Diceros bicornis minor: one gene and its partner. The main gene of each other region encodes a partner of the protein of the gene in region 2 in a complex. Links are inferred from orthologs where the notes say so. Each region holds a gene or a part of one and is shown on either strand. Other genes may lie near its edges.

What was found.
Region 1: the proteins of ALB (region 2) and FCGRT are in contact, whole or in part, in a crystal structure (PDB 6QIO), measured with the Homo sapiens proteins. The link is inferred for Diceros bicornis minor from reciprocal best matches to the Homo sapiens genes ALB and FCGRT. Residues at the interface, in NP_000468.1 of Homo sapiens: Arg105, Glu106, Thr107, Tyr108, Gly109, Glu110, Asp113, Asn133, Asn135, Gln441, Ser443, Pro445, Thr446, Glu449, Leu484, Leu487, His488, Thr491, Pro492, Val493, Tyr521, Val522, Pro523, Lys524, Thr530, Phe531, Thr532, Phe533, His534, Asp536; in NP_001129491.1 of Homo sapiens: Arg65, Glu67, Glu69, Gly72, Ala73, Val75, Trp76, Gln79, Val80, Ser81, Trp82, Trp84, Glu85, Lys86, Thr89, Arg92, Asn172, Lys173, Leu175, Thr176, Leu179, Phe180, His184, Glu188, Arg192, Gly195, Asn196, Trp199, Lys200, Glu201.

What each region holds. Positions count from the first base shown.
Region 1 is NC_080773.1:24,935,976-24,951,941, reverse strand, and holds the start of FCGRT (IgG receptor FcRn large subunit p51), read right to left. Parts: upstream 6,489-15,966; 5' UTR 6,429-6,488; coding exon 6,404-6,428; intron 5,574-6,403; coding exon 5,502-5,573; intron 4,341-5,501; coding exon 4,086-4,340; intron 4,015-4,085; coding exon 3,730-4,014; intron 1-3,729. Other genes in the region: RPS11 (small ribosomal subunit protein uS17), read right to left, coding at 15,006-15,129, 15,765-15,894. UniProt on the Homo sapiens protein: Cell surface receptor that transfers passive humoral immunity from the mother to the newborn. Binds to the Fc region of monomeric immunoglobulin gamma and mediates its selective uptake from milk.
Region 2 is NC_080747.1:59,358,376-59,373,948, forward strand, and holds the start of ALB (albumin), read left to right. Parts: upstream 1-7,220; coding exon 7,221-7,299; intron 7,300-8,019; coding exon 8,020-8,077; intron 8,078-9,203; coding exon 9,204-9,336; intron 9,337-10,991; coding exon 10,992-11,200; intron 11,201-11,817; coding exon 11,818-11,950; intron 11,951-12,779; coding exon 12,780-12,877; intron 12,878-14,365; coding exon 14,366-14,495; intron 14,496-15,411; coding exon 15,412-15,573. UniProt on the Homo sapiens protein: Binds water, Ca(2+), Na(+), K(+), fatty acids, hormones, bilirubin and drugs. Its main function is the regulation of the colloidal osmotic pressure of blood. Major zinc transporter in plasma, typically binds about 80% of all plasma zinc.

The DNA of each region.
Region 1 (15,966 bases), on a different chromosome or scaffold from region 2:
TGAAGTAAAATAGGACAGTCACAAAAGGATGAACACTGTATGATTCCACTTATACGAGGTACCTAGACTCGTCAAATTCATAGAGACAGAAAGCAGAATGCAGGTTGCCAGGGTGGAGGGAAGGGAGAATGGGGTGTTAGCATTTAATGGGGACAGAGTTTTAGTTTTGCGAGATGAAAAGAGTTCTGGAGATAGATGGTGGTGATGGCTGCACAACGTGAATGTACTTAATGCCACTGAATTATACGCTTAATAACAGCTAAGACGGTAAATTTTATGTTATGTGTATTTTACTGCACTTAAAAAAAACAAAAATTCATTCATCTTCCAGTTGAAAGTATATACCCTTTAACAACATCTCCCCAGTTCCCCCACCCCCAGCCCCCAGTAACCACCATTTTACTCTGTTTTTATAAGTTTGGCTTTTTTTAGATTCCACATATAAGAGAGATCATACAGTATTTGTCTTTCTCTGTCTGACATCTCACTGAGCATAATGCCCTCAAGGTCCATCCATGTTGCTGCAAAAGGCAGGATTTCCTTCTTTCTCATGGCTGAATAATATTCCATTGTATATATGTACCACAACTTCTCTATCCATTCATCCATTGACAGACACTTAGGTTGTTTCCATATCTTTGTTATTGTGAATAACGCTGCAACGAGCGTGGAGTGCAACTAGAAGATGAGTAAGTTCTGGAGCTCTAATGCACAGCATAGTGATTATAGTCAACAATACTGTATTATACGCTTCAGAATTGCTAGGAGACTAGATCTTAAATGTTCTCACCACAAAAAAGAAATGATAATTATATGACTGTGATAGACGGTGTTAGTTAAAGTTATGGTAGTAATCATATTGTAATATATACGTGTATCATTCAACACATTGTACACTTTAAACTTACACAATGTTATATGTCAAGTATATCACATTAAAAAAATAAAATAAAAAATTTAGGGGCCGGCCCAGTTGCGTAGTGGTCAAGTTCACGGGCTCCACTTCAGGGGCCCAGGGCGTGCAGGTTCGGATCCCGGGTACAGACCTACCCACCGCTCATCAAGCCATGTGTGGCCGCACTCCACATACAAAAGAGGAAGATGGGCACAGATGTTAGCTCAGGGCTAATCTCCCTCAGAAAAAAGAGGAAGATTGGCAACGGATGTTAGTTTAGGGCCAATCTTCCCCACCAAAATAAATAAATAAATGTAAAGATTTTAAAAAATTTTAAAAATAAAAATAAAATTTGAATCTATAGTTATTTCAAAATAAAAAGTTAAAAATAAAATAAAATGTCTACTTTCTAGCTCTGTCCACTGAAAAGGCTTACAATCACCAATCCAGCAGCAATAAACACCACTAGTGACTAGATTGTGGTCTCTAAATACTATTTCCCACTCAAAGGAACCAGGGGTCCACGGAGAAATGGCTCATTCCAGGACTGGGGCCGGGCAAGAACAGATGACCTGGAGACCTTTCATTGCATACTGCAAGGAAGCCATAAAAGATTAGTAGGGTCATGTGAAAAGACTCAGGAGCCAATTTGAAGACCCTCTCAATAGTGTAAGATGGTTCAATGTGAGCTTCCAAAAGAATAAGGTCTTAGGGCCGGCCCCGTGGCTTAGCGGTTAAGTGCGCGCTCCGCTACTGGCGGCCCGGGTTCGGATCCGGGCGTGCACCGATGCACTGCTTCTCCAGCCATGCTGAGGCCGCGTCCCACACACAGCAACTGGAAGAATGTCCAACTATGACATACAGCTATCTACTGGGGCTTTGGGGAAAAACAAATAAACAAAAATTAGAAAAAAAAAAAAGAATAAGGTCTTCAATGGATTAACATACATAAGATCCATGAGTTCATAGTAATACTTAAAATAAAACTTAACTGGTCCCCTTGAAAGCTGATAGCTGATGACCCTCTTTTCAGAATTCCAGATAAATGAGTGAAGAAGGTACGAAAGAATTAGAATGCCATCTTTTATGGGCTGAATTGAGTCCCCCCAAATTCATTAAGTTGAAGCCCTACCCTCTAGTACCTCAGAATGTGACTGTCTTTGGAGATAGGGCCTTTAAAGAGGTCATTAAGGTTACATGAGGTCATCACAGTGGGCCCTAATCCAATATGACTGGTGTCCTTGTAAGAAGAGGAGATTAGGACACAGACATGCACCTAGAGAAGGGCAGACCACGTGAAGACACAGCGAGGAGAAGGCGGCCGTCTGCAAGCCAAGGACAGAGGCCTCAGAAGGGACCAATCCTGCCAACAACTTGATCTTGAAATTCCTGTCTCCAAAATTGTGAGAAAATTAATTCCTGTTATTTAAGCCACCCAGTCTGTCGTATTTGTTATGGCAGTCCAAGCAAACGAATACACCATTGCTTTGTAACTCCTAATGAAATAACGGAGCAAGGCAAGGGTCACCGATGGCAGCGAACACCGTTAGGAGAAAACCTGACGGCGAATTTCATGACAACCCCTGAACCCGACGGTGCGCCAGAACAGCACAGAGACGACCAGACAGACAGGGCCCGTGCACACGGACACGCACGCCAACCACCCAGGAAGTTTTCTTGCCAGAAAAATCGAATTGGAACGTGATCAAGCCTCCACATCGGGGGCTACCAGTTTACAGGAGAAACAGGAGAACAGAAAAAGGATCACATTCAGCAACATCTCAGGGATTGAGGACAAACAACTCACTTTCCTCAAAGCAAAATTGCAAAGAAAAAAGACCCAGAGAAATAGGGCGACCGATAGATTAAAAGACAGTGAAGATCACAAAAATTAAGATCGTAAAAATTAACTCAAAATGGATCACAGAGCTAAAGGGAAAACACGAAACTACAAAACTCCTAAAGATATTATACGAGAAGATCTTGATGTTCTTGGGTTTGGTGATGATTTCTGAGATACACCACCAAAAGCACGATCCATGAGAGAAAAAGTGATAAACTGGACTTTACTAAAATCAAAAACTTCTGCTCTGCAAAAGACATTGCGAAGAGAAGGGATAGACAAGCCCCAGACTGGGAGGAAATAACTGCAAAACACATCCCATAAAGGATGGGATCTCAAATATACAAAGAAGTCTTAAAACTCGACAATAAGAAAAAGACCCTGAAGAGACAGATAGACTCATTGAAACCTCATGTGGATCCTGATTCAAACTTTAAAAACACATGGATAAGACGATCAGGGAAATGTCATCACGAACCGGGTCCTTAACCGTGTTAAGGAACGTAGTTAATTACTTGTAGGCGTGATAATGGTTTTGTGGTATTGTTTTAAAGAGCCCTTACAGAACAGAGTTACATACTAAAGCATTTACGAATGAAATCCTCTGATGTCTGGGATTTAATCAGAGGTGGGGGGGAGTGGGTGAGGTGGGAGGTGGGGGAGCTGCCCGAGCAAAGATTTAGAGGGAAGACACTGCTCATATGTGGAGTGGCTAGGGGTGCCATGTGCCTGGTGGAGGCAAGTAAAGCTGGACGGGTCTGATGAGGACATTACGCTGGGAGTACTGGGGAGCTATGGAGGGCTGTGAGCAGGGGAGGGGCAGGGGCAGCTCTGGGTACAGAAAGAGCCTATGGGCTGTGTGGAGGATGAGCTGCAGCGGGGAAACTGGAGGCCAGGAAGCCAGGGAGGATGCTGGGGAGAGGAGGAGGCCTGAGGCGGGGCCCCCGGGATGGAGAGATCGTGGTGGTGAGGGATTCGGGAGGCTGCTCACCCTTCCACTCCAGGTTTCCGCGGCCCCTCTCCAGATGCCCCAGCAGCCGGTGGGGGCAGGAGTAGAGCAGGAAGGTCTTCTCCTTGTTGATGGCGTCGGCCTGCTGCTCCCACCTCTTACCGATTCTCAGGGACTCGGGCCAGTCCCCATTCCACGTGCCCAACTTGAGGTCGAACTCCATGAACTCCTCGCCATTCAGGGCAAACTTGGCCACAGGCACCGAGGCGTTGTCAGGGCCCAGCTCACAGCCCAGCAGGCCCTGCAGGGTGTAGGGACCGGGGGCGCCTACACACACGTGAGCAGGGCTTCCGAGCCGGGGGTCCCTCCTCCCTTAGACCCAGGAGTCCCAGTCTCACCTTCTTCCTGCAAGGCTTTGAAAGCTTCCAGAAAGAGCTTCTCCTTGTTCCTCAGGTCTGTCGTCTCTTTCTCCCAATACCAGGACACCTGGTTCTCCCAGACCCACGCCCCGCAGGGCTCAGCCTGGCCACGCAGGTTATTGTAGCTCAGGTACTGCTGGGGACCCAGCCAGCCTGACACCCAGAAGGCAGGAGTCCCCGGGGCAGGGGAGGACACGGCGGTGAAGTGGTACAGGAGGGACAGATGGTTCTCTGCTGGAGAGAAACAGGTGAAGAGAGCAGAAGGGGGTGGGGGCTAGACTGGGAGCGGGACAGACACGCCGAGAGAGAGAAGACTCAACCCCAGATACAGGCGACAGACCCAGAGAGGAGGGGACAGATCCAGGGGGGGACAGACCCAGAGAGGGAGGACAGACTCAGAGTCAGGTGGACAGACTCAGAGAGGATGGGAAAGACCCAGAAAGGGTGGGAAAGACCCAGAGAGGATGGGACAGACCCAGAGAGGAGGGGACAGACCCAGAGAGAAGGGGACAGATCCAGGGGGGGACAGACCCAGAGAGGGAGGACAGACTCAGAGTCAGGTGGACAGACTCAGAGAGGAGGAGACAGACCCAGAAGGGGGGACAGACTCAGAGAGGGGGGGACAGATGCAGAGGAGGGGACAGGCTCAGAGAGGAGGGGACAGGCTCAGAGAGGGGGGGACAGACCCAGAGGGGGGGACAGACTCAGAGAGGGGGGACAGATGCAGAGGAGGGGACAGGCTCAGAGAGGAGGGGACAGGCTCAGAGAGGGGGGGACAGACCCAGAGGGGGGGACAGACTCAGAGAGGGGGGACAGACTCAGAGAGGGGGGGACAGATGCAGAGGAGGGGACAGGCTCAGAGAGGAGGGGACAGGCTCAGAGAGGGGGGGACAGACCCAGAGGGGGGGACAGACTCAGAGAGGGGGGACAGACTCAGAGAGGGGGGGACAGATGCAGAGGAGGGGACAGGCTCAGAGAGGAGGGGACAGGCTCAGAGAGGGGGGGACAGACCCAGAGGGGGGGACAGACTCAGAGAGGGGGGGGACAGATCCAGAGGAGGGGACAGGCTCAGAGAGGAGGGGACAGACCCAGAGAGGGGGGACAGACCCAGGGAAGAGGGGACAGATTGGGGGGCAGACTCAGAGAGGGGCGGACAGAACCAGAGTCGGGGCACGACCCAGAGTCAGGCAGATAGACCCAGACAGAAGGGGACAGGTGGTTCCGGGCACACGGACGCGGGAGGAGAAAGCGATCGACAATGTGAAAGGCGGCGGCGGAGGAGGCGCCGGGCTCGAGCGAAACCTCAGCGTTCGCTTCCTTCGCGGGGCTCCCGGCGGCACAGCTCGCCACCCCTCCCGCGCCCTGCGCCCCCCGCCCGGCCCGACGGCCCCTCACCTGCGCGCAGGGTCCCAGGCAGCAGGAAGAGCAGGAGGAGAAGAGGGGGGACCCGCATCCTGAGAGGGCGACCTGGGCGGGAGGGGGCGCGTGACTGCTCGGGACCCCCGCCCCGCCCCGTCCTCCCCCTGCTCGGCCGGCTCGGCCACCAGGGCTGTGGGCTCCGGGCTCGGTCCAGGCGGGTGACAACTGCGCCCGCCTCCTCAGCGACCTTTCACCCCTTAACGGGATCCCCGGTGGTTAATTAATTACAGAGCCTGCTGAGGCTGAGGTTTCTTTCTCGGAGCGCGCCCCGCCGCCGCCTCCAGCTCCTGCTCCTGCTCCTGCTCCTCCTCCTCCTCCTCCTCCCCCTCCCCCCTCCTCCTCCTCCTCCTCCTCCTCCCCCCCTCCTCCTCCTCGGAGGAGGAGGACTCCGGGGACTCCGGGCCCCCGCTCCCCTCCGCCCTCGGACCCTGGAGCCCGGGCCCCCAGCCCTCCTCCCTCGGCCCCCTCCCCCCTGGGGTCCCCCCTCCCGCGGACCGGGCGCCCCGACCCCAGCCTGTCCTTCAGGACCCGGGCCCCGGCCCCGCTTACGGCAGCCACGGCCCTTCCCGCCTGGCCGCTCCCGTGACTGGAGACCCCAGTTCCTCTCTCACATCCTGTCCGGAGACGGCTCCCCGACTCCAGGAATATCCAACCCCGCCCCCAGCTGCAGGGCACACCCCGGGCCCCGCGCCCGGCCTCTCGGAGTGCTGGTTTCTGCCTCTCTTGAAACTTTTTGTCTTTTTTTTTTTTTGTCTCTTTCTCTGCCGCTCCGATTTTTTATTTAGAGGGTGTCAGCCACCCAGCGAATTCATGACAAAGTGGAGAATAAACATTATCGGAGTTCAAAATTGGGAGATCTCTGTGGGTTCCCTTCTTACCCCCTTGTACGGCCCATGCCTCCATTAGCTCCAGCTATAATGGAAGGTCTCCAGATGCTTCTATATTTCCTCCTTCGGACTCCTCCCTTAAGTGTCCCCTTAAAGTGCTCCTGCAGTTCTTTAGTATGACCTCAGATGACCTCAATAACACAGTCCCAATATACCACGACCACGCTTGGAAATCACTCCCAGTCACCCACCCCAGCCCACGCTCAGGCTATAACGCTTCCATTCATTTGTTTTATTGTGGGAAAATGCACAAAACATAAGATCTACCATTAGTGACATGAAGTGCATTGACAACGTTGTGCAACCATCACCACTGTCTGGTTCCGGGAACTGTTCATCACCCCAAGAGGAAACTGCACACACAAACACTTAGTCCCTCCTCCCCCCAGCCCCTAACAGCTGCTAATCTGCTTTTCGTGTCTATGGATTTGCCTATTCTGGACATTTCAGATACATGCAATCCTACAATATTGTGGCCTTTTGTGTCTGGCTTATTTCACTCAGCAGACTGTTTTGAAGATTTATCCACATTGTAACATGTATCAACTTCATTCCTTTTTATGGCTGAATAATATTCCATTTTCTGGATCTACCACATTTTGTTTATCCAGTCATCAGTGGATGGACATTTGGGTTGTTTCCACTTTTTGGCTATATGAATAATGCTGCTGTGAATGTTTTTGTACAATGTTTTTTGGACTTTTTTTTTTTTTGGACAGCTGTTTTTATTTTTTTATCTTTGAGGAAGATCAGCCCTGAGCTAACATCCACGCCAATCCTCTTTTTTTTTTTGCTGAGGAAGACTGGCCCTGGGCTAACATCCGTGCCCATCTTCCTCCACTTTATAGGGGACACCGCCACAGCATGGCCTGACAAGCCGTGCCTCGGTGCGCGCCCGGGATCCGAACCCGGGCCGCCAGCAGCAGAGCGCAGGCACTTAACCGCCACGCCACGGGGCCGGCCCCTGGACAGCTGTTTCTAGTTCTTTGACATATATACCCGGGAGTGGAATTGCTAGACCATATGATGCACTAGTCAGGGTTCTCTGGAGAAACGGAATCAATAGGATGTGTATATACGCATACGGAAAGAGATTTATTTCAAGGAATTGGCTCACAAGGATCGTACAGGCTCGGCGAGTCCAAAATCTGACACAAGTGGCCGGCCGGCAGGGGACTCAGGCAAGAGTTGTAGCTCAGGTCCAAAGGCAGGCAGGCTGGAGAAGCAGGACGAGCTCATCGTGCAGAAGAAGTCCAAAGGTGGCAGAATTCCCTCTTGCCTGGGGGAGGTCAGTTTCTTCTTCTACTCAGGCCTTCAACTGATTGAATGGGGCCCACCCACATTATGGAAGGTAGGCGGCTTTACTCAGGGGCCACTGATTCCGGTGTACATCTCATCCAAAAACACCCTCACAGGTGCATCCAGAGTAATGTCTGACCAAACATCTGGGCACTGCGGCCCAGCCAAGTGGACACGTGAAATTAACCATTACAGGTGATAAATCTGTGTTCGATTTATTGAGGAGCCTCCATTGATTTTCATTACTTTCCCTGGGTCCTGTTAGGATATCCACTAACCCACCCAAGGGTCCGCCTGTCATGATACAGAAGGATCCTGCTTTCACGTCCCATGAACGCTGTTACGGCGCCTGCTGCTCTTTCCTAAAATACCCCAAGGAGGCTGCCGTGCCCAGCTGTCCCCTCCACGTCCCTTGGGATCCAGCTGTGTCCCGGGGCACTCATCCAGCAGCCCCTGGGCTCTCATTTTAAAGGCCCTCAGGACTGTGCTGGGATGTTCCTTGGACCCTGATTTAAAGTGTCACCGTCCCGTGACAACCCACCCCCCCCGGACCTGCTATACTTTTCCTTGAAGCTTGAAAACCATCCCCCTGAGGTCCTGCTTGGGTCTCACCCTAAGATGGCCCGGAACTCATCTAAATGCTCCCTGAGCCCTAATATAGTATCCCTGTCATCCCACTCTGAGGCCTGTTGCCCATTAAGACCCCGTGGCGGGGCCCAGCGTCTGCTGCACTGCCCCGGGGGGCCCCAGTGCAGCCCTCACGGATCTGCCGTAACAACCAGCTTTAACGCCGCTCCCGGCTTCCTGCAGGACCATGGCCGGAGGCCGCCACCCTGCTCCTGGGTCTCTACTAATCTCAGGCCCCCACTCTCTGCTCCCTGGGTCCCCTGATAGTGTCCTGAGACCCAGCGATAACGTCTTCAGGAGCCCACGCTGATGTCCCACAGAGTCAGCCACCCCATCCCTGGAATCCAGCTGAACCAGTCCTGAGCCCTCACGGAACCACTGCTGCCACCCACTCTGGGAGGGCCCCGAAGTGCCCTCAGCCCTGGGCCCCTCCCCGTGGCCAAGCCTGTTTGGATCCTTCACTTCCTGGTGTAAAGCTGAGCAGGGTCCCCAAACCCACTCCTGGGTTCTCTCTGTTATTGTCCCTCACCAGGCCCTGCCCTATCCAGAACCTCCCCAGGAAAGACAGATGGACAGACAGACACAGAGAGGGAGGGAGAGAGGGAGGGAGGGAGATAGATAGATAGATAGATAGATAGATAGATAGATAGATAGGTAGGTAGAAAGAAAAATAGACAGGCAGCTAGTCAGGCAGGCAGACAAACAGATAGATACACAGATGGACAGGTAGACAGACAGATGGACAGACAAATAGACAGAAAAATAGACAGGTAAGTAGGCAGGCAGGCAGACAGATAGATACACAGATGGACCAGTAGACAGATATACAGACAGAGGTAAACAGATAGACAGAAACAATTAGACAGACCGTCCAGGACCTGCCATAACCTCCCTCCCTGGCCAGAAACCTCCGTTATTTCCCAGGAACTCGCCGTCATGCCCCTTCCACGGCCCTGCATCGGACGAGACCGCTGCCCCCTCACCCAGGAGGCCCCGCTATCTTTAGACACCCTGGGTCCTCCTCTAATGGTTAAAACACCCCCCACGATTCTTCTCCATTGCCTAGGACCCTAAAATAATGTCACTAGAGTGCTGATGACAAGTCCTTGGGTTCTGCCACCATGCTCCCAAGACCCTAATGCACCGCCCTGGTGGCCCCAGGTCCTTCTGGAATGCTCACATCTTGCTCGACTGTCCTCCAGCTCCTGCCTCACCGTCTCTGGGCATCTCCTCTAGGTGTCCTCGGTCCTGCTATAACCCCGTCGGCTGTCACTTCAACACCTCTCGGGACCCTATGCTAATACCCATTGGCTCCTGTCAAAAAGTCCTTGGGTTCCTGATAAAATGTCTCCAGGACCCTGCAACACTCTCCCCCGAGTGCTCAGAAGGTCCCCTGGTTCCTGCTAAAATGGGTACAGCCTTCCCTTGTGTGGCCTTGAGGGTCGCCAAAACGGCCTTGGGGAGTCCCCTCTCAGCCCTCTGGGTCCTGCCAGGACCCTATTAGAATGCCTCTTAGCCCTACCATGAAGTCTTCAGATTCCTGCTAAAACACACCCAGGGCCTGCTCTACTGTGTTCCAGAGCCATCCAAGTGTCCTGCGGGGTTCCGGGAAAATCCATGCGCGCCCCAGGATCCTGCATCAGCGCCATCCACACACACCCCAGATCATTGTATTAGTGGCCTATCACTGCTGTAACCAATGACCACAAACTTAGTGGCTTAAAGCAGCACAAATGTATGACCTTACAGTTCCAGAGGTCAGACATCTGAAATGGTGCACAGGGCTGGTTCCTTCTGGAGGCTCTGGGGGAGAATCCATTTCCTTGCCTTTTCCAGCTTCTAGAGCCACCTGCATTCCTTGGCTCGTGGCCCCTTCCTCCAGCTTCAAAGCCGGCCGTGTAGCATCTTCTCTCCTCTCTGATCTCTGCATCCATCCTTACACCTCTCTCTAACTCTGATCCTCCTTCCCTCTCCTAAGGATCCTTGTGATTACATTGGTCCTACCTCGAAAATCCAGGATCATATCCCTATCTCAAGATCCTAAATTTAATCGTGGCTGCAATGTCCCTTTTATCATGTAATGTCACATATTCACAGGTTTTTTGGGATTACAGCATAGAAAACTTTGGGGGACCATTATCCAGCCTACCACAGTCACCAAGGACGCCCTCCCTTGCCCCTGCTAGAATGCCCCCATTCTAATCTCCTCTCTCTGCTGTCATATGGCCCCAGGGTTTCACCAAGAGGCCTCTCAGAGGTCTGCCCAAACTTTCCCCCTAACATCCCTCCTTCCAGCTTCAAAAGAAAAAGCCCTCAAGGTCCCTTAATGCCCACCGGGAACCCCTTCCAGGTGCCCTGGGGTCCTGCTACATCTCAGGAGCCACGTACAGCATCTGCTGACTGTCTCCTGTCGTATCCCCAGGTCCTGCTTTAACATCCTGCTTGTGCCCTCTAGACCCTGGGAGTACTGCTGTCAGGTCCTCAGGGGCCCACTATAAAGCAACAGAAAGCCTGTGGCAGGACCGGTTATTAACCTGTGGACCCGAAGCCAAATGAAACCCTGGGGCCCCGTGTTCCACTTCCAAGACGTCCAAGCAGAGCATTCAATGAAGCATAGGTCCCTCTGAAGGAGCTCTCACTGCGTGGGGAGCTCACCCAGGAAGCCGCCTTGGCCCCTGGGGTCTGTGTACTATAAATGGCCCCCTGGCAGCTCTGAGCGACCTGAGTCGCTGCCACCTTAACATCCCCGTCCCCTTTGCACCTACACCATAGTGCCCCCTACTGACCCCAGGAGGCAATCACACCTGAGTTCCAAACCAAATCCTGCCTCTCGCAGGTGGGCTTCTCTGAGCCTCCGTGTCTTTACCTGCAAAAGGAGGATAATAATTGTGCCCAACCCAGTAGACAGGCTTCGGCGAGTCAAAGGCTTGGCGCAGGCCACAGAGTAGGGCACAGTCGTAACTCCTGTTCCCCTTAATGCCCCCTTCCAGGCTGCTGTTCAGGTCCCCAGGGTCACACTAGATCGTGGGCTCTCAGACACCAGGCCCTGGATCTGTCTTGCTCACTCTCACATCCCCAGACGAATGAATGAAGGCAATAATGAACGACACTGGGCTGGTTTGATATGCCCCTAAAACTCTTCCAGAATGGCCTTGGTGTCCTGCTAGAATGTTCTAGAAGGATCTATCCCCACCCCTGAAACAATCCATAGGTCTCTGTTACAATATGTACTAGAGCTGGGACCTGCTGTAATGCAAGACCCGGGGCTTTCCAAGGATGGGCTCAGGGTGGTGCTAAAATATGACGGCACAGCTGTGCAAACACACACGGCAGCCACTCCAATTCCATTGCCCTAGACTCCACTCTCAGACCTGGGGACCAGGTAAATGAATTCAGCTGTCTCTACACGCTAATACTCATGGGCCGGCTGTAATACAATTCGGGTATGGCAACCCCCAGCAGGGCCTGTTACAGGCCCCGAGGGCCCGCCACACTCCGTATACCTGGGTCCCGCTACAATAGAATGCAACACTGATGGCCAGTCTGGCTGTAACAGAACATTCCCGTGGCTGTATGACAGTGCGGGGCCATAGTACACTATGATACCACCGAGATCTGCCCTGTTGTCATGTAACAGGCCTGATGCCTGCTGTCATCATACACCCGGGACCCTGCTGTGAAACTGGGGAGCTAATTTCCTTGCAGAATGCCACTGCCACCGGGGCCTCCTATAAGAGGCATGCAACAGAACATTCCAGAAGCACGTTAAAACAGACTCAAGATCCCAGGCCAAACCACCAGGGCTTGCTTTAATAGACCCAGGAGTCCACAACCATATAATCCCTCTGGGGCCACCTGGCAAAGACTCTTGTCTTTGGGCCTGTCTGAAGGGACCCAGGACCTGCTCTACCAAGACACCACTGGGCCTCTCTACAGGCTCAGGGCTCCAGAATAATTACTTTGCTAAGAAGTATCACTTACTAGAACTAGTTCTATCCCATTAACACACGTGAGCATATTTCATCCTCCCAATGGGGCAGGGAGGCAAGAACCCGTTTCACAGATTAGAAAACTGAGGCTCTGTGGCTGGGGGAGCCACCTGCCCAGGGTCACACAGCTGACGAGCCGCAGGGCTAGAATCCGGAACCGAGCCCACAGTCTCCATGCTCACACTGGGAGGATTCTGCTCGTGTTCACTGCTTCTGGCCATTCTGTGCCCTGAGACCTAGGGGGCAGGCCCGCCCTGGAGAATGCGAGGATTTAACTTGAAATGAATTCGTTCGCTCAACTAAACACGTCCAGAGCATCTACAACTGTTCCAGGCGCTGGGGACGCGGGGATCCTGCCCCATGGAGCTCACGTTCCAGGGGCCGACAGGTAAACAAGTAGGTATGCTATGTTGTACCGAATTCATACAATAACACACAAACACACCATAAACAGGTTTTACCTGACTGTGTAGGACAACGCAGCAGGGAGGGGTGAGGGGGAAGGTCGGAGGTTTTGCCAAGTGGAAGGGGGTTGTGAGAATTAGAGACGGAGGCACAGTTAGAAGCTTCCAGGCCCAGGTCCCAGGGGCGCGGGCAGGCGGAGAGGAAGGGAGGGGAGAGTGGTGGGCAGAGGGCGGAGGGGGAAGCACGGGGCTGTGACCCGGGCCTGGGATTGTATCTCTGTTGTCACACGGCTCTAAAAGGGCAGATACAGTGTCACCCACTCCTCAGGCGAGAACTGGGGCCACCTGGAGGTCTCTCGACCCTCCAGGCCCATCAGAGGTGCCCCACCCGAGACCAGGTAGCCCAACGCGGTGGGGTGCCAAGGAGACGCCCCAACGACTGCTGGGAGGAAACAGGGGAGCTGGGCTGTTGTTGTTGTAAACACGAATCCCCACCCCGAACGGAAACACCTGCGGAGGGGGGCCGCCAGAGCGGCCTCGGATCCTTCTCTGCGTCTCCATCCCCCTCCCTCTGGGGTCTCCATCCATGTCCCTCCTGGGTCACTGCTCCCTTCTCCTCTCTCTGGATCTTACTCCCCCATCTCCGTCCCCTCTCTCAGGGTCTCTACCCCTCTAGCGCGGGGTGGGGCGGGCGTGCAGGCTGACAGTCGGGGCGGTGCCCCCTCCTGACCCGTCCCTGCCCCTTCCTGCCCTCTTTGATGCGGCCCCACTTCCTCTGGCAGGAACCCCCGCCCTCGCTGGGCCTGGGTAAAAAGGAGCCACCGGGCCGGTCCAGAGGCGGCGTCCCTGGAGGCGGCAGCGGCTCCTCTCTCCTCACGGCCCTGTCTCCCAACCCTTGTACCAGTGCTGCGCCTCAGTCCCTGGTACAGGCATGGGGGGCAGGGACCTGGGGACCCCAGCAGCGCCGGGCCCCCAGGGGTGAAGCCGGCAGGATGACTCCAGCATCTCCCTTCTCTCTCTGCGCGTCCGTCTCCGCCCCTCGGATCCCAGGAGTCCTTGCCTCCCTCTCCATGGTGTTTCTCTGACTCGTCTACACCTGTCGCCCTCCTGCCTGGTGGACCCCATGCCTGTCACCTCTAACTCTGTGATGCTCAAGGTCCATCTAGGTCTGTTTCTGAAAGCCGAGTCTGTCCTTGCTTGTGGTTTGGGTTCCTGCTGTGTCCAGCTGAGCCCTCTGCTCTCTGCCCGTCTCTCTTCATCCCTGCATCTGACGCTCAAGGCCCCTCTCCCTGTTATCAGCTGTCAACCTCTCCCACCTCCCACGTTTTCCCTGACACTCAAGGTCGTTCTGTCTGGCTGTCAGAAACCTCTTTCCCTAAGTTTGCCTGACCCTGTCCCCATTCTCCCATTTCCTGTGTCTCTCCTCACCCAAGGCGCCCCACCTGGTCTGTCCCTCCCCATTCGACCCACTTCCAGGCGCTTCCTATGCACTTCTCAGCAGCCTGCAACCCCGCACTGCTGAGCTGGGTTCCAGGCTGGCTCCAGCATGGCCTCATTCTGAGACTTGCCCTCAAGGCCAATTTTCCTTACTTGGATTTTGCCAGCAAAGGAAGTTTCCAGAACCCGAAACTTAGCTCCTCACTAGGGCTGCAGGCAGAGAACCTGCCCCCTCAGATGACTGCTCATCTGTAAATGGGCCCAGTGTCCACTTAGGCAGGGGCGGTGGGGCTCGCAGGGGGAGCCCCTGCCTTACTTTCCTGCCCCACTCCTTGGCTGTCAGGGGAGACAGGGAGGCCAGGTGGAAGGGAAGACCCTCATAGCTCAGTCAGGCAGCTGTGAACTCCTCAAGCCCACCCAACCCCCCAGAGAGGCCCAGAGGGTGGCACTTCTTCCTCCCCCTCCCCAAGGAGACCAAAAGGGCCCAGACAAGTCTACAGAACCCAGGAGCCTCCGCCCTCACTCATTTCCTCCCCAGAGACTTGGGGGGAAGCGGAGGGGGGGGCAGCTCTACGCCAGGTAAAGGCCTTATTTATTCCGACACCAAGAAAGGTGCGCAGAACCGAAGGGAGATCCAGAGAGAGGGGCAGTCTTCACCCAGAGATGAGGGCAGGACTGGTCCCTGGAGGATGAAAACGAACCCCACCTTTCATGTCAACCCTTTGCTCAATTCCCAAGGCCAATCCCTCCCCCCATAAGGGCACAGATACCCTGAGCCTGGCCCATGACTGGGAAAATAACTTTATTTTGTTTGGGGGAGCGGGCAGGTGTCCAGTCTCAGAACTTCTGGAATTGCTTCTTGGTGCCGGCGGCCTTGGTGACCTTGAGCACGTTGAAGCGCACGGTCTTGCTCAGGGGCCGGCACTCGCCCACTGTGACAATGTCGCCGATCTGGACGTCCCTGCGGAGGTGGGCGGTGGCTGTGTCATGGGGTGGAGGGCGGTTCCCTCACTTCTCAGCTTTGGCTCCACCAGACCCCATCTGCCCCCCAGTCATTGTTTGTTTGTTTGTTTGTTTTTTGTGAGGACGATCAGCCCTGAGCTAACATCCAATGCCAATCCTCCTCTTTTTTGCTGACGAAGATCAGCCCTGGGCTAACACCTGTACCCATCTTCCTCCTCTTTATATGGGACGCCACCACAGCATGGCCTGACAAACGGTGCGTCAGTGCGTGACTGGGATCCAAACCTGCAAACCCCAGGCCACTGAAGCGGAGCATGTGCACTTAACCGCTGCACCACTGGGCCGGGCCATCCCTAGTCATTGTTTAGTGAGCACAAACTACCTGCAAGGCATCCAGCTCAGTGCCTAGTGAGCACAAACTATCTGCAAGGCATCCAGCTCAGTGCTGCAGAGGATGCTCCATCTAACAAAGAACTGGACGCTCCCAAGGATGGTTGCCTAGTTACAGCAGCCTCCTCACTCCCGCCTCCCCCCAACAGCTCACTACCTCCACGGGACAGCTGGGGCATCCTGTTACCCCCCAAGTCAGGTCCCACGTCACGCCTGGTCTCCCTGGGGGTCCCCCGTGCTCACCTGAAGCAGGGGGACAGGTGCACGGACATGTTCTTGTGGCGCTTCTCGAAGCGGTTGTACTTCCGGATGTAGTGGAGGTAGTCTCGGCGGATGACGATGGTCCTCTGCATCTTCATCTTGGTCACCACACCTGGGGGGGAGGGGACAGATGGTGGGTCAGGCCCCCTGGGGAAAGGGGCCACGGACAGCCCAGGGCATGCTA
Region 2 (15,573 bases):
TTAGAAAAGGAGGAAGATAGGTTTTGGTGGGCACATACCCTTGGTTTTGTGGACTTTTTGCTCTCTGGGGGCAAAGCATAGCTGGAAGAGGCCAAAGGAGGCCTTCTAAAGCATGGATTTTAGAGAAGGAGGTCTCTTGCTTCTGTCCATGACCAGTACCACCCTAAATATCTCTCCAATTTGTCCACTTCTCTCCACATCTATATCATTGATATAGCTCAAGATCTCATCATCTGCTGCTAGGACTATTGCACTAGTCCCCTGACTAGTCTTCCTATATATACTCTTGTCCTCTCTAGTCTCTTCCCCACATGGCAGCCAGAGCAATCTTTCTGAAGCATAAATCAGATTATATCACTGAGGTAATAAAATCATTCAACTTCTTCTCATTGCTTTTAGAATGAGGACTAAAAATACTTACTGTAGCTAAGATAACATACAAAGCCGTCTACTCTCATATCTCATCTCACACTGTGCTTCCCCCTCTCTGTGTCTAGACTGTCTCACTTTCCTTCATACTCTTTCTTGCCTCAAGCATTTGTGCATGCTGTCCCCTGTAACTGGACAGCTATTTTCTTCCCTCATTACTCATGCCCATTGAAAAATTCTCAGTTTAAAAGTCACAACCCTAGGAAAGCCCTCTCAGACTTCCAGCAAATGGTATTATTAAATAAATACAGCTTGAATCAGGAACACTGTTCATCACTAACTATTTGGGTGGTCTACCAACTTTGTCAATCATCTTAGATAAACTATGTCCCCATGGAAGTTTTGTAGCTTTCTACAAGGATAATATCTTTCTTAGGGGCTTTTAATATTAAATTCTCCATTCCCATCCTTAGGTCTGCCTGGAAATCCAAACAATTGCAAATTTTGCTTTTCTTCCTGCCGGTCTGCCTTGCTTTTCTTTCTTACTCCTACAGGAAGTTCCATCATCTTCTAAATCGGGGCCTAACTCTTTGCTCTCTGTATTTTGGTCTTTTATCAAATATTTAGAAATTACACATCTTCATACCCTCCTTAACTTCCCTCAGTCCTCTACCTACTCATTCCATTTCTCCAGGCAAATTTCCTTCACAAGCAAAAATGAAACCAGAGAATGCCAGTTTGAAACTTTATAGTCTGTTGAGTTGCATAGTTAGCTAAAGAGGTCAGAGCTCATATGTCTTATTCATGCATGAGATTGCCCTTGGATTTAGAGCTTCTCCTCTACTACTTCTGTATCACTCCAGGAGTACCTTGTATTCTACATGCACAGTCATTTACAATGTTGCATTACAATTATCTTTCTATATGTCTGTCTCCTCTATTAGACTGTGGGCTCGTTGAAGTCAGGGACTGTGTTTTACTAACCTTTTGTATCCTCATAGCCTAGCAAATGCTTGGCATTTAGTGGGCACTCAATAAATTTTGAGCATGAATGAAAGACTAGGTGGTGCTACTTAAAATAAGTATGCAACATTGTTTTCCGGATTGTGCCCTGTCAGCAAGAACACCGGTGTTCTTAAATAAATAGTGGGTTTGTTGATGCCAGAACAATGTTTGCTTTTAGATAGCATCATTTCTTGCCAATTTTCCATGTAACAACAGAGAGAAATTTGGACTCATCAATAGCAGTCATTTGCCTTCAAGACATTAAATGCTGAGAGGCTAATTTATATAATTTTAATGAATGAATGAATATCTAGTGTAAATATAAAAATTAAAATTTAATTGAAATAGTATTTGTATGTATTTTGTCTAGTAATTTAAGCTATTGATGTTGAACTATGCTGGATATGCCAGAACTGAATCAGAAGCATTTTGGAAAGAGAGTACCATTGTCAATGTCCTGTTACCAAAATTACCTCTTTATGCTATTTGAATGCATATTTTTTATTCCAACATATTATTATTAAATAAACTATTTTTGTAAACATAACCTTCAAACCTATAAATGTTATTCTAATAAAAGAATTTTATTTTTTTCAATGCCTATATAATGAAAAACTAATTTTGAACAATTCAATGCTTATATGTGCAATAATAATATTTAAAAATTATTTTGATAACACTTATATAGTTTATTATAATTAGGCCAGAGATTAATTTATCTCAAAAAAAAAGAGAACATAGACCAATTATTTATTTGATGTATTTCTTAAGAGCTACAAGTTTTTTTGGATCAAACAATTCATTTCTTCACGTTAGCCCATACATACACGCTTGAAAAACTGACAAGAATTTCAAGACTTAAATTCCAAGGCTCAGTTAGGTGGCAAGCCAGAGAAATTTTAGCTCAAGACCGGCACTTGGAGATTACAAAACATCTAATAAATTCTAAGCTTTGGAAGACCTTGAGGAGAAAAAGATTTTATCCTTTAATGAAAACTTTTTAGACTTGATCTACTAAAGTTTTAACCTAGGAATATTTTAGTTATATAAACTTTATTGTTTTACAGAAGGTTAAAAAAGTTCAATTTTATAACTTTAAATTAACCACCTTTTAGGTAGTAAGTCTCTTGTATTACATTTGGAAAAAATATAGAACATGAATAGACTGAGCACTATTAAACTCTCAGCAGAGAATTCATTTTTTGATTTCCACCTGTAGCTATTTTTATGAGAGAGGAGTTACTGGCATTACTTTCAACTGATACGTTTATAGATTCTAATTGTTAACATATAAAGAATAATTAAGCATGGATTTCAGACATTAGCTATATTTTTCTTGGGTTGGAAATACAATAAAAAGATATGGGAAAGTGTCATTTTATTTACTTTGTTTAGACAAGTTTAAATGACCTTTTCATTTCTTAAAAATTTAAACTGAACTAGATGGAGAGTAATGCCTGAGGAGCCATTGGACAGCTCAGCAATGAGCAAGTTCTTAAATTTGAATCCCAATTCCCTAATTTGATATGTTCATTCTACCAGTCAGGCCCTTTTCTCCTTCTGCAAGACTGTTACGTGGGAAATGTGGAACACAGAATGTTCAAGGTAGAAGGGTCCTTAATGATAATTTAATCTAACTTGACCCATATGATATGGAGATATATACAGATTTGTGTGTCTGAGTTGGGAACTGGAAATTGACATTGAGCTGAATTAAACTGCATAGTAAAGCGTTGAGAAATTTGAAGTGAATGGTTAGGAAATCTGAGAGAAGGTAGATATAAACTCTAGAGGCCCAGTGTAACATGAAGAAAGGGCAGGAAAAGGGACCCTTCTGCCGTGGGAGCTTTGGAGTGAGAGGGACTTAAGAGATGGGACAAGCCAAAGATGATGATCTAGTGTGTGTTTTTTTTTTGCTGAGGAAGATTCATGCTGAGCTAACATCTGTGCCAATCTTTCTCTATTTTGTATGTGGATTGCCGCCACAGCATTGTGGACAAGTGGTGTAGGTCTGCGCCTGGGATCCAAACCTGTGAACCCAGGCCACTGAAGTGGAGTGCACTGAACCACTGGAGTGGACATAACTACTATGCCACAGGGCCCATCCCACTAGTGTGGTTTTTATAACGTAAACTTTCTTCTCCTTGTCGTCTATGAATTCTTCACCAAATTTGATATTTCTCACTAATGCAAGGGGACATTTTGGGGGGATGGCTTACATAGACAGATGAGGGGACAATTGATATCTGGATCACATTACAATTTTTTATTTGCATTAGAAATGCCTGTATAAGGTCATACATTTCAGACAATTTATTTTTTAATGGGAAATGTACCTTCACAAGTGAATAAGAAATTAAATTGCTTACCATGTTTGAATTGGCTAGTTTGATGCTTACTGGGTTTTAACTTTTCTACCCGTCTGTATTTTTCAGAAAGCTGTCCAGGCCCTTCATGTTATGTTGGATCTGCATATGTTCATAGTATAGTAGGAAGAGTGCTAAGAAAAGGTTTTCTTGCCCCCAATCTCATCTCCAAATGACTCCAAATTACCTCTATTTTGGAATGACTTTGGGATAAGTGATTGTCTCTAGAAACTCTCTGTTAAAATACTGAGGATATTATTAAATATTGTTGTCACATTTTTACGCATGTATTTCACTTTGTTTCTAAGAGAAGCTGACACAGAAGTAGTGCTCTATCACAGAAAGAGATGGCATAAGGGCTGGACCAAGAAGATGGCCAGATGGAGGGAAGCCTGTTTGAACAACTTGATGAGAAGCTTCAGGAATCCAGAGGGTAGTAGAGGGCATAGGTTTATATATGATTAGGGTTGCAAGGAAGTGGGAGACGGGTCCAAAGAGATATTTTATCTGCTTCCGTGCCGTTTCTATCCCGTCAAAATGAATGGAAAACACAGGACAACAGGAATAAAGATTCAGGTTTAATTCCCAGTTATATTTACATTCCAATTGAGGTATTTTTTTTTCTCTTCTAAATGATCAGTACACTATTATTCTTTCCATATGAAATAATTTTCTTAACTGCTCTTTCTTTTTAAACTTCTCCCGTAAAAAATGTGAAAACATTTTAAAATCATTGGAGCTAGTTTCCTGTTTACTTAGAAACCAGATTCTGTAAGCCATATTTATAATTCTCGGTTTAAATATTTGCATTTACCCTTATGCCAGAGTCCTTTGATGACTAACTAAATATAAAAGTTTAAAATCTTGAAGAATAGAATATTTAGAAATAACCAACAATGATATGGTTTTATTCTTCTCACTATAGAATGTACATGCAGAATTAATAGAAGAAAAATGTAGGAATTCTTACTTTGGGAATCCCCAAAATGCAAATGTTCAAGGGTTTCTTTTTTTTTTTTTTTTTAATTTATTTTTTTGTGTGGAAGACCAGCCCTGAGCTAACATCCGATGCCAATCCTCCTCTTTTTTGCTGAGGAAGACTGGCCCTGGGCTAACATCTGTGCCCATCTTCCTCTACTTTATATGGGACCCCCGCCACAGCATGGCTTAACAAGCGGTGCGTCAGTGCGTGCCCGGGATCCGAACCGGCAAACCTGGGGCCGCCGCAGCGGAGCGCGCGCACTTACCCGCTTGTGCCACCGGGCCGGCCCAAGGGTTGCTTATTAATAAGGATGAATTTTAAGCATGCAGATCGTGTTAAGAATTAAAATTTTTAATTTCTCAACCATTTACTAATCTTTAATAAGAATACCCACATGCAAAATACCTTATTGGTACTGTAAGAAAAGATTCTTTCGGATATTTTAAATTTTATATTTGAAAGCTATGGGATCTTCATTAACTATAGAAAAATCAATTCTAAATTTCTAGAATCATGATTAATTTTATCTTTTTTTTGGTGTCCTATATTTACCATCGCATTAAGATACAATATTGCAATGCAAAGTAGATGGAGAGATTAATATTATTCTTTTCATTTGTTAAATGAAAAAGTATGCGCAAAATATATGTGTGTGTGACAAGGGTTTGATTTTGTGAATTAGTAATGCAAACATATTCACTGATAAGGATTGAATGTTTGATCAAGCCTTCTGTAGGGACTCATATAAGGAAAAGTTTAGGGCTGGACACTGACTTTCTCGGCAGCTAAAAGTTGACATAATTTATCTAAAAAAAGAATTATTTTCTCCATTTAGAATGATAGAAAGTTAGAATAATTTCCTTTTTCCTTTTCTAATCTGGGTTTTTGGGCTTAAAAAAAATGGTTTTCTCCAACAGAAATAATTCCATAGGCAGACATTTTTTTATTTCTGTTCATCTGTGGCCTGGCTCCATTATTCAGGACTCCCTTGAGCCGCTTTAAAAAAACTCCGTCTATCTATGTGTCTGTCTGTGTATCTGTGTATCTATCTATCTTTAGTCTGTCTATCTATCTATCTGTCTATCTGTCATCTATCATCTATCTCTGTCATCTATCCATCTCTGTCATCTATCTATCCATCTATCAATCATCTATTTATCTATCATCTCCTCTTCTGTATTTGATTATCTATTTGGTACTCATACGTGAAACGAAATACAGTAAAATAAGATCATAGAAAGTGTATCTCTTTCATCATATGACTGAATAGGAAAAATAATGCTTCTGTTGAGTATTTGTTAGTCTTCGCATCTATATGTGCCATAGAGCAGCTTGACTGACAGTTTTGATTGACTCGGTTATGTAATTAAATGAAATGACTGGCTTGACACTAATTTTTGTAGTTCTTCATCTCTGGGGCGAAAGGGCAGAGAGAGAATAGCCTTTCAGAGGTAGAGATCAGAATCTTGGGTGGGGAGAGTAGGAAAGGAAGTTTGGAAAAACATTTCTGAAAAATTATCTTTGCTTTGTTTTCAGACATAATGTTAAATTTACTTTGAAACTCAAAATAACGTTAAAGAAGAGCATGTGACTTTTCTTTTTATTAAAAGGGAGAAAGGAAAAACGTGTGAAACAGGGATGGAAAGAATATGATGCTTGGTGAAGAAGGTCTAGGATTCTATAACCTCTAGAGGTGTAATCAGGGCTCAAACTGGCCTGTGTATATGATCATGCAAAGATCATCATTACTGTCTTTTGCATTCATGTTCTTCCCCATCTCCTTAACAGGAAATTCTATGAGAGATACCCATATTTCTTCTAAGCATCCTACTGCAGGGACTGAATCACTCATGGGCCAGAGCTGGGATGGAAATGTAGAACTTCTGAATATCCATTTTAGTTGTTATTGTTGCTATGGCTTTTTCTTAGTTTGCATCTTAGTTTGCAGCTTTTTCAGACAGAATAGTTTCAGAAGAATGAAAAAGACATGGATGCCCTCTGTGTGTGTGTGTGTGTAAATTTTTTATTATTTATCAATAAAAACACTCTTGGAATTAGTAATAGATACAATTCAGGGCTTAGCTCTTTTAGTACTTCTTATTTCCAAGCTAAGTCATTGGTTTGGTTAAATTTTTTGCAAATACTGAAAACTAAAATGTTCAAATGGGAAATCACAGATAAAGAACATGGTAATGAATAATAGGCACAAATCGTTTAAACTCTTATGTAAAATTTGATAAGATGTTTTACATAACTTTAATGAATTGACAAGGTCTTGTGGGGAAAACAGCGCTAGATGGCAAACATACGCAACAGATTAGTCAAACAATTGTTTGGCAAGAATATTGTAAATTTTGTAATCAGTTGGGAGCCAATGAATACAAAGATGAGTCTAGTTAATAATCTATAATTATTGGTGAAAGAAGTATATTAGTCCTAATATCCCTCTATTTCTCCTACCTTTTTCTCTTTTATCAACCTCACAAGCCTTTGGCACAATGAAGTGGGTAACCTTTATTTCGCTTCTCTTTCTCTTCAGCTCTGCTTATTCCAGGGGTGTGTTTCGTCGCCATTCATGTAAGAATTCTGTTTTTCTATTGTTCAACTTTTCTTTTATTTTCCTAGTAAAAAAGAGTTTCAGTAAACTCTGCTTCTTTAAAGAAGTAAGTTTTCCTTTAGCATTTATTTCTAGACTTTGACGATATTTTGTATTTGTGAATCCTTAGAAAGTTATCTTATTAATATGTTTCTACCATCCTAGGTGAAAAAAATGGTGAGAATTGCTTAGTACCTGTAATTCCTTTTGCTCATGAAGGAACTTAGACAGAGTGACTTAAACCTCACAGAATATAGTTGAAGATAGAATTCATAACTCCAAATTCTCAGAGGCCTATCTACTGCACCTTACTTTGTAAAAGCAAAACCAAAATCTGTCATTAATCTTATGAATAGAATTTGTATTTATATTTTTCATTTCAACTGTCCTCTCAGTAGCCGTTAATAGACACTACAAGAGCATTAGATCTTATCCAAGTATGAATATAAAGTTATAGATATTTAATGATTTTAATGATTTTTCAAATAGTATCGTTGGTGATTGAGTAACTCTTCTGTTTAAATGCAGAAGAAATAGTTCACCATCATCCTAAGATTTTCTGTAGTGATCAAAGCCCCATGTTTTGGCACAAATGAATACCTAAGTCAAACGGAGAGAAACATAAAAAGTAACATTGTAACCAGTTATTTTCTTCAGAATTTAAACAAATCCTTTTTTTTTTCCCTTTCCCCCCTCCCCAGACAAGAGTGAAATTGCTCATCGGTTTAATGATTTGGGAGAACCACATTTCAAAGGCCTGTAAGTTAAAATATTGAATATTGAAGAGTCAAATTAATGTTTCTAATAGTGTTGGTTATTATTCCGAAGTTTTTATATTCCCTTGTCATCAGGGTCCAGACTCTGGAACAGTTCTGTCCAATAGAATTTTCTGCATTGATGGAAATATTTTATATTGATGTTCTCCAATATGGTCGCCATTGGCCACGTGTGGCTGTTGAATACTTAAAAATGGCAAGCGCAAGTGAGGATCAAAAATTTAGATAATATATAATTTTATTTAAATCTATATAGTCACATGCAGCTGGTGGCTACTCTATAGGACAATGTAGCTCTGGAACTCTTATATAATCTGCATGGTGGGAAAGACTTTACTATATGACTCCTTTCACAGCTCACTAAATTCCTTTACCTAGCAAATAGATCTGTGGTTTCTTGAGAGCATTTTAATATATATATATATTTTTTAGGGGGGAGCAAGATTAGCCCTGAGCTAACATCTGTTGTCAATCCTCCTCTTTTTGCTGAGGAATATTGGCCCTGTGCTAACATCCATGCCCATGTTCCTCTTCTCTATATGGGATGCTGCCACAGCATGGCTTGACAAGCGGTGCGTAGGTCAACACCCAGAATCTGAACCCACGAATCCTGGGCCACCCAAAGCGGAGCCTGTAAACTTAACCACTATGCCACGGGGCCGGCCCATAATATTTTTTTAATCTTGTAAAAACTGAGAAAGTAGTTTATTTTTTAAAGGTCCATCTCATCCTACAGCCTGATTAAATGAGATGTGTGCGTGCTTTTAGCTTTCTGTTTTAAACAGTCAAAGGGCCTATGTAATACCCCTGTTATTCTAATTAGATCTAATTTAGAATACATTTGACTTGCTTGCTCTATGTGCGTGCATCTACTGACATGCACACACATATTTAAACATGGTGGAAGTACATATCTTCTTTAATTAGAAAGCCACATATGCCTGGTTAGGCCTCAGATAATAGCTGATGTGAATAGGCTTTCTGGATAATAGTAAGAAAGATGTATAAAATATAGAACATATACAGATACACAATTTGCTCGCTAGCATAGTAACCTACTTTATGTTAAAATGTTATTATGCTATGTTTTTCTTTGTTCTTTGTTTCAGAGTGCTGGTTGCCTTTTCTCAGTATCTACAGCAGGGCACATATGAAGATCATGTAAAATTAGTGAATGAAGTAAATGAATTCGCAAAAAAATGTGTTGCTGATGAGTCAGCTGAAAATTGTGACAAGTCACTTGTAAGTACCTTCTGATTTTGAATATTATTTCTTCTTCTTCTAAGTAATCCTGAGCATTTCAAAGGAAAAAAAAATCTCATTTTAGTTATCTCAATTATTGCTAATGACCATATTTGTAAGCAACGCTCAAAAGTGGGTATCGCCATTGTTTCTTCTGTGATAGACACATTCTAGATATACCCACAGTTTTAAAAACGTCTCTTTATTGAGACCACACACAATAGTCATAGTGTATTTAAATGGATATTTGTCATTTGTAAAAGTCTCTTTTGAAAGTTTGAAGTTTGATTTCTTTTCATAGAGGCTAATAATTATAACGTGGTTTTTATCATTAGAAAGCACTCAACTGATTTTTAATTTGTTACCCGGATAAAATAATATGTAGTACAGCTACATAGTCCTCGTCTTAGGGATGTTCACGTTTTTACATACAATAAAAAACCAGGGCATTCATTCATTTTGAAGGACTTGGAAGTTTTGATGTTTCTGGATAGGTCTTCAGTACAAGGAGAGGTTTATATTTCTCTCACCACTCAATATCTAAATACTTTTCTGGGAACAAGCCCATTTTTAATTTATCACTGAAGCCTTTCCTCCTCTTATTTCTCTCTATATGTATCCGTCTCTCAAGGCAGAATCAGTACTTTAACTCCACACAATATTATGGCTTTAAAAACGAATTTTAAAAAATGTGTTTTTTTTGAAAATTAAATTCTGTCTTGAGCAGTGTATTTTCCCTGAAGTTACAATTATTTCATAATAAAAATTAATGGAAACAGAAAGGATTTATTTAATGGAATGTGCTTTGAGGCAAATATTTCTAGGATGAAAAAGATCTATATTTTAATACAATAACTTAATTAATACATAGTAAATTGTGTTATACTCCTCAGTTTTTAATAGTATTTTTTTTGTGTGTGTGTGTGTGTGTGAGGAAGATCAGCCCTGAGCTAACATCCCTGCTAATCCTCCTCTTTTTGCTGAGGAAGACCGGCTCTGAGCTAATGTCTATTGTTAATCCTCCTCCTTTTTTTTTTGCCCCAAAGCCCCAGTAGATAGTTGTATGTCATAGATGCACATCCTTCGAGTTGCTGTATGTGGGACGCGGCCTCAGCATGGCCGGAGAAGCGGTGTGTCGGTGCGCGCCCGGGATCCAAACCCGGGCCACCAGTAGCTGAGCGCGCGCACTTAACCGCTAAGCCACGGGCCGGCGCAGTTTTTAATAGTATTTACTGAAAAGTTGGACCTCTCAAAAAGGAGCAGATCAAATAAGAAACTATCTGAACACTTTCCTCCCTAATGTGAATTCACCTGCTACTTGGAGGATTATTTTTCCTTGATTTTTTATTATAAGGGTCACTCTCCTGGCCGTTAGACTCAGTTGGAAATAGAAGTAATATTCATTCCTTCAAGCCATTGACGGTCTTTTTGCCCTTCTGTTTTATCCACTGTAAGTACTAGTGTGACAGTTAATTCTTAAGAAAATTACACATAGGTGGTCAAATCAAGGGAAACTCTCTAAACCTGAGAAAAATGTGGATTTTTATATGATTTCCTGACCAAGTTTTACCAGTATATTAAATTATTACTGTTCTTTGGGTACAAAGAAAATAAAATACTGCCCAGAAATTTGAAGCCTGCTGTCTTCCATTTAGCATACTCTTTTTGGAGATGAATTGTGTAAAGTTGCAACTAATCGTGAAACCTATGGTGAACTGGCTGACTGCTGTACAAAAGAAGAACCTGAGAGAAACGAGTGCTTCCTGCAACACAAAGATGACAGCCCAAACTTCCCCCCTCTGAAAGCAGAGCCTGATGTTCTGTGCGCCCAATTCCAGGCAGATGAAGAGAGTTTTCTGGGAAAGTAAGTAATCGGATTGTTATACTTCAAAATTAAAAATTATGGAATAGGTTAAGACATGATAACAATGACTGTAACAAAAAGTATTTTCAACATTAAGACTTGGAAGCTTTTGTTCTAATGACAATTTTCAAAGAAGTAATATTTGATACTATACAATTCTACACAATAAAAAATTTGATCAAAGATCTTTTGGAGTTTATTAAAACAGGATATGATCTATATGAAAAATTTGAGATCGACATGTATTAAAATATTATGAAGATATATGTTTAGTTATTCTCAGATTTGATTTCATTTTAGTCAATAACATTAGGTCACCAAAATTTAACTATTTTATATGTATGTGTGTATACATATGTATATACATATGTGTATGTATATATGTATATACGTATACGTATGTTTATATATATAAACATATATATAAGTATGTAAGTTTAACCTTTTCACTGACTTAAAGAATAAGAAAGGCACGGTCATCTTGTGCAAATTGAGCTTAATTGGTAAATTAGACGTCTTTGGGTTTTGGAGGCTCTGGGGAGAATGGTTGATTACAGTTGTTCATGTAATACTGTCTGCTATAGAAAAATGACTGTCTTTTCTTTTAAAAAATTTAGATATTTATATGAAATTGCCAGAAGACATCCTTACTTTTATGCCCCAGAGCTCCTTTACTATGCTGAAGAATATAGAGACGATTTAAAAGAATGCTGCCAAGCTGATGATAAAGCTGCCTGCCTGCTGCCAAAGGTATTTCCCAGAGGAATAGAAGAACTAATTCATAATCAAACCTCAGATTTTGAGGATCTTATGGCTAGATTTAGGGAACCTAAATCTCTGATATAAACTTCTTTACATGGTCAAAAAAGCCTTCCTCACTCTTATCCTCCACAGAGATCTTTCACTCTTTTTAAAGGCCTCTGACCTTCTATTCCTCCTTCTAAGGTTTACCAAAGTGGATCTGATAGAGGGCATCCCTGTCTACGTGTCTCAATATCCTAGCTTTCTTTACGGTGCTGGTCACTATAGTGAAATATGGAAACTCATTTGTAAAATTGCACAGCAAGGGGGCACAGTTTTTGTTTATCTTTTCATGAGCCTTTTTTATGAGGGGGTGGGTCATGGAATTCAAAGTAGAGAATTGAACTGCATCTAGAAGCCTGGATTTATTCAATCACTCTGTAAATATTTATTATGTACTGCATTCTCTTTTGTAGGGAGTTTATTGATGTGATGAGAGTTGATGAAATGAATTATATGCAAAATTAGGAAGGCAGTCAAGTCATATTCCCCAGGATATGAGTGTAGTCTGTTCTTCCTCTTCCCTTTTCAGTTTCCTTTTCCCTGGCAATGCCTCTGTGCTGGTGCTTAACTACCTAGAGGCTTCCACTAGGGCCGGGCTGATTTTTCCTCTCCTTGCATAGCAAAATAATTATTCACCAATAGGGAGCGCTTGGGAATTTAGGTGTCAATTATCTCTCTAAAATTTAACTTGGCATAGTCTCAGCTGAACTTAAGAAGCGTTTTTACATGTCAAATTTTTCTTTTCTAATTTTTCCAAAATAATTTCTTTTTACAGATTGCAGTTTTGAAGGACAGAGTACTGACTTCATCTGCCAAAGAGAGACTCAAGTGCGCCAGTCTCCAAAAATTCGGAGAGAGAGCTCTCAAAGCATGGTATTTTAAACTTAGTTTGCATCTTTATAGTGGTGCAAATGACGATGGCTCAGTTGACAAAATTGTGCATTTATATAGCATTTTACACAGAGCTTTCACATACATCCTTTTAGTTGTCTAAAAGGTAAAAATTTAAGAGGTGAAAACCAGAGCATCAATGACAATTTGTTATTATTTTTTATCACATTTTTTCTAAGTAGTCAAAGAACTCACAGGACATCTTTTTTGTCCTTCTAGGACAGGTATTTAAACTCCCATTTATTTATAAAAACTAGGGATCTTATTCTAATAGTCCACACTTTTTATAAAGCTATCATCAGGAGCTTTCATTTAATTTTATCTCCCTCCCTCAATTATCTGAAAGTGTCTGATTGTCTTTTTATGTTCTGATAATTAAATACAGCCATCAAGTTTACTACTCATTTTTTCATAGTTCCAGCTCTGCTCTTAATCTCTTTTTTTTTTTTTGCCTGGGCCTCTGTTTTTATATTAGTTAGCTGGTTCTAGAAGCATCCTTCAATAGTATCCATGCCAAGAAAAGTCCCCCCTCCCCAATCCTCCATTTGCTAGTCAACAATGAACCAACATGAACAGGAGATAAAATGAAAATAATCGACATTTTGCAGGCTCTGTAGAAATCGTCATTTGAACTATCTTTGTCTGTCGTCTCCGCCATCTACACCATCAAAATCAACAAAATCAATGAGCAAAACAACCCAGACATGAAACGTTACACAGTTAAACAGGCTGTGGTTGGTTTTGGGGAAGAAGTATCTTTTATCAGATTTAGGCAACTGAAATGATTTGGGAAAGCATGCAGATACTACCTTTTACATCTTGTCATCGAGTTTAGAGACTGCGCCGGATTAATTTCTTGGTAAAAGTGTGGTTAATCAAAACTCCCTAATTTTGTAAAACTTATGACATTTCTTTTCTCAGAGACTTTCGAAGTCAGGAAGAATGTGTTTTAATTGATTAAAAAAAGATAACTAGAGTTTATATGACACTTCCCAGTTTATAAAATGCTTTCATATGCGTTATCTAACTTAATCCTCAGAACGATCTTTTGATTTAGCATACTGTTGTGACTCTGTAGAGGCTGAAGCTCAGAGAGGCCAAGTAACTTGCCTAGGGTCACACTGCTAATAAGCGATAAAACCAGTTCTGGACGTCAGATCTGGGATCTAAACTTGATGCCTCTCAGCACATCTCCCCTTCTAGAACACCCCTTTGATTTCTGCTTTTATGAATCGCGGGACTTCTATCCACCGTGTACACTCTTACAATGGATAGTTCTGCCCTAAGAAAACATGTTGCCCTAAGATAACCTGGTTCAGAACTAGCATTAAAATAAGAACTAATGAATTTTACAGATTATTTCTACGTTATTTTATCCTGAATTTTCTTGTTATAAGTAGTATTTTCCTAGTACTTTCACATAAAATATTGCATGTTAATAGTATTTTGATGGAAGAAATTTCTCTTTAGGACAGTAGCTCGCCTGAGCCAGAAATTTCCCAAGGCTGACTTTGCAGAGATTTCCAAGCTGGTGACAGATCTTGCCAAAATCCACACGGAATGCTGCCATGGTGACCTGCTTGAATGTGCAGATGACAGGGTAAAGAATCCTCTTTAGTATGCTTTTTGATAATTTACATGCTAAGTTGATAGAGTGAATTTATTTAATACTGTGGGTGACAACTGACAGTGAGTTGAGATTGTCTCCTGTGCTCTAATCTGCTCAATCCTTTCCTTGTCTTGTGGTAGTTTTTTTTTACCGGGCTAACCTGCTCGCTAAATGATCTGACAAACTCATTCACTAATTTGTAATCCCTTTCAGTCATATTCTAACTGACAACAAAGGCTTAAACTGAAGTAGAATGGCTACAAAGGTAGATTTCTTAGGAGATTTTTTGGGGAGGTGAGTGGAGTTGGAGAAGGGCTGGTATCTGGAGACCTTTGGAAATTATGAGTTTTTTTCTCTATATTCTCTCAATTAATTCTCTGTGTTAAATATACAAATATTTAGCATGGTATCTCTTTTCCCCAAACTTAAAAATATGACCAAATGCCAGAATCCTAATCTCTCAGGACATCTTCTGGAAAATTTAAGATAGATATTTTCCATACATAAGTGGGGCCTGTGACTATGCTCTTGACTAATTTTTCAAAAATTTATCACACTTTAGTTTTTTGGTTTCAAACTGCCTGCACTTAATTTTGGGAGGATATTTGGAAAAACAATATTGAGTTTTAATTTAAAAACTTAAATGCCTTAACAATAGAAATATAAAATTAATAAATAACTGATATGGGCCCCTACTACTGACTAGTTTTTTTAATCAAGTGGAAATGTTTCAGTAGTTCTGAGTCTGCAGGCTAAGGAGCACAGACTGAAAGTGTTCATAGAAGGCAGGTGGGTGTGTGTATGGTCTTAGAATACAACGAACGTGTTCTGCCAACATGATAAAGGCCCGGGAGAAAGTGTAGTGATGTCAATTTGCATTGAACAATTTCCATCAACTTGCTTATAGGCGGATCTTGCCAAGTACTTTTGTGATAACCAAGATTCAATCTCCAGTAAACTGAAAGCATGCTGTGATAAACCTCTGTTGCAAAAATCCCACTGCATTGCTGAGTTTGAAGGCGATGAGTTGCCTAGTGACCTGCCCCCATTAGCTGCTGATTTTGCTGAA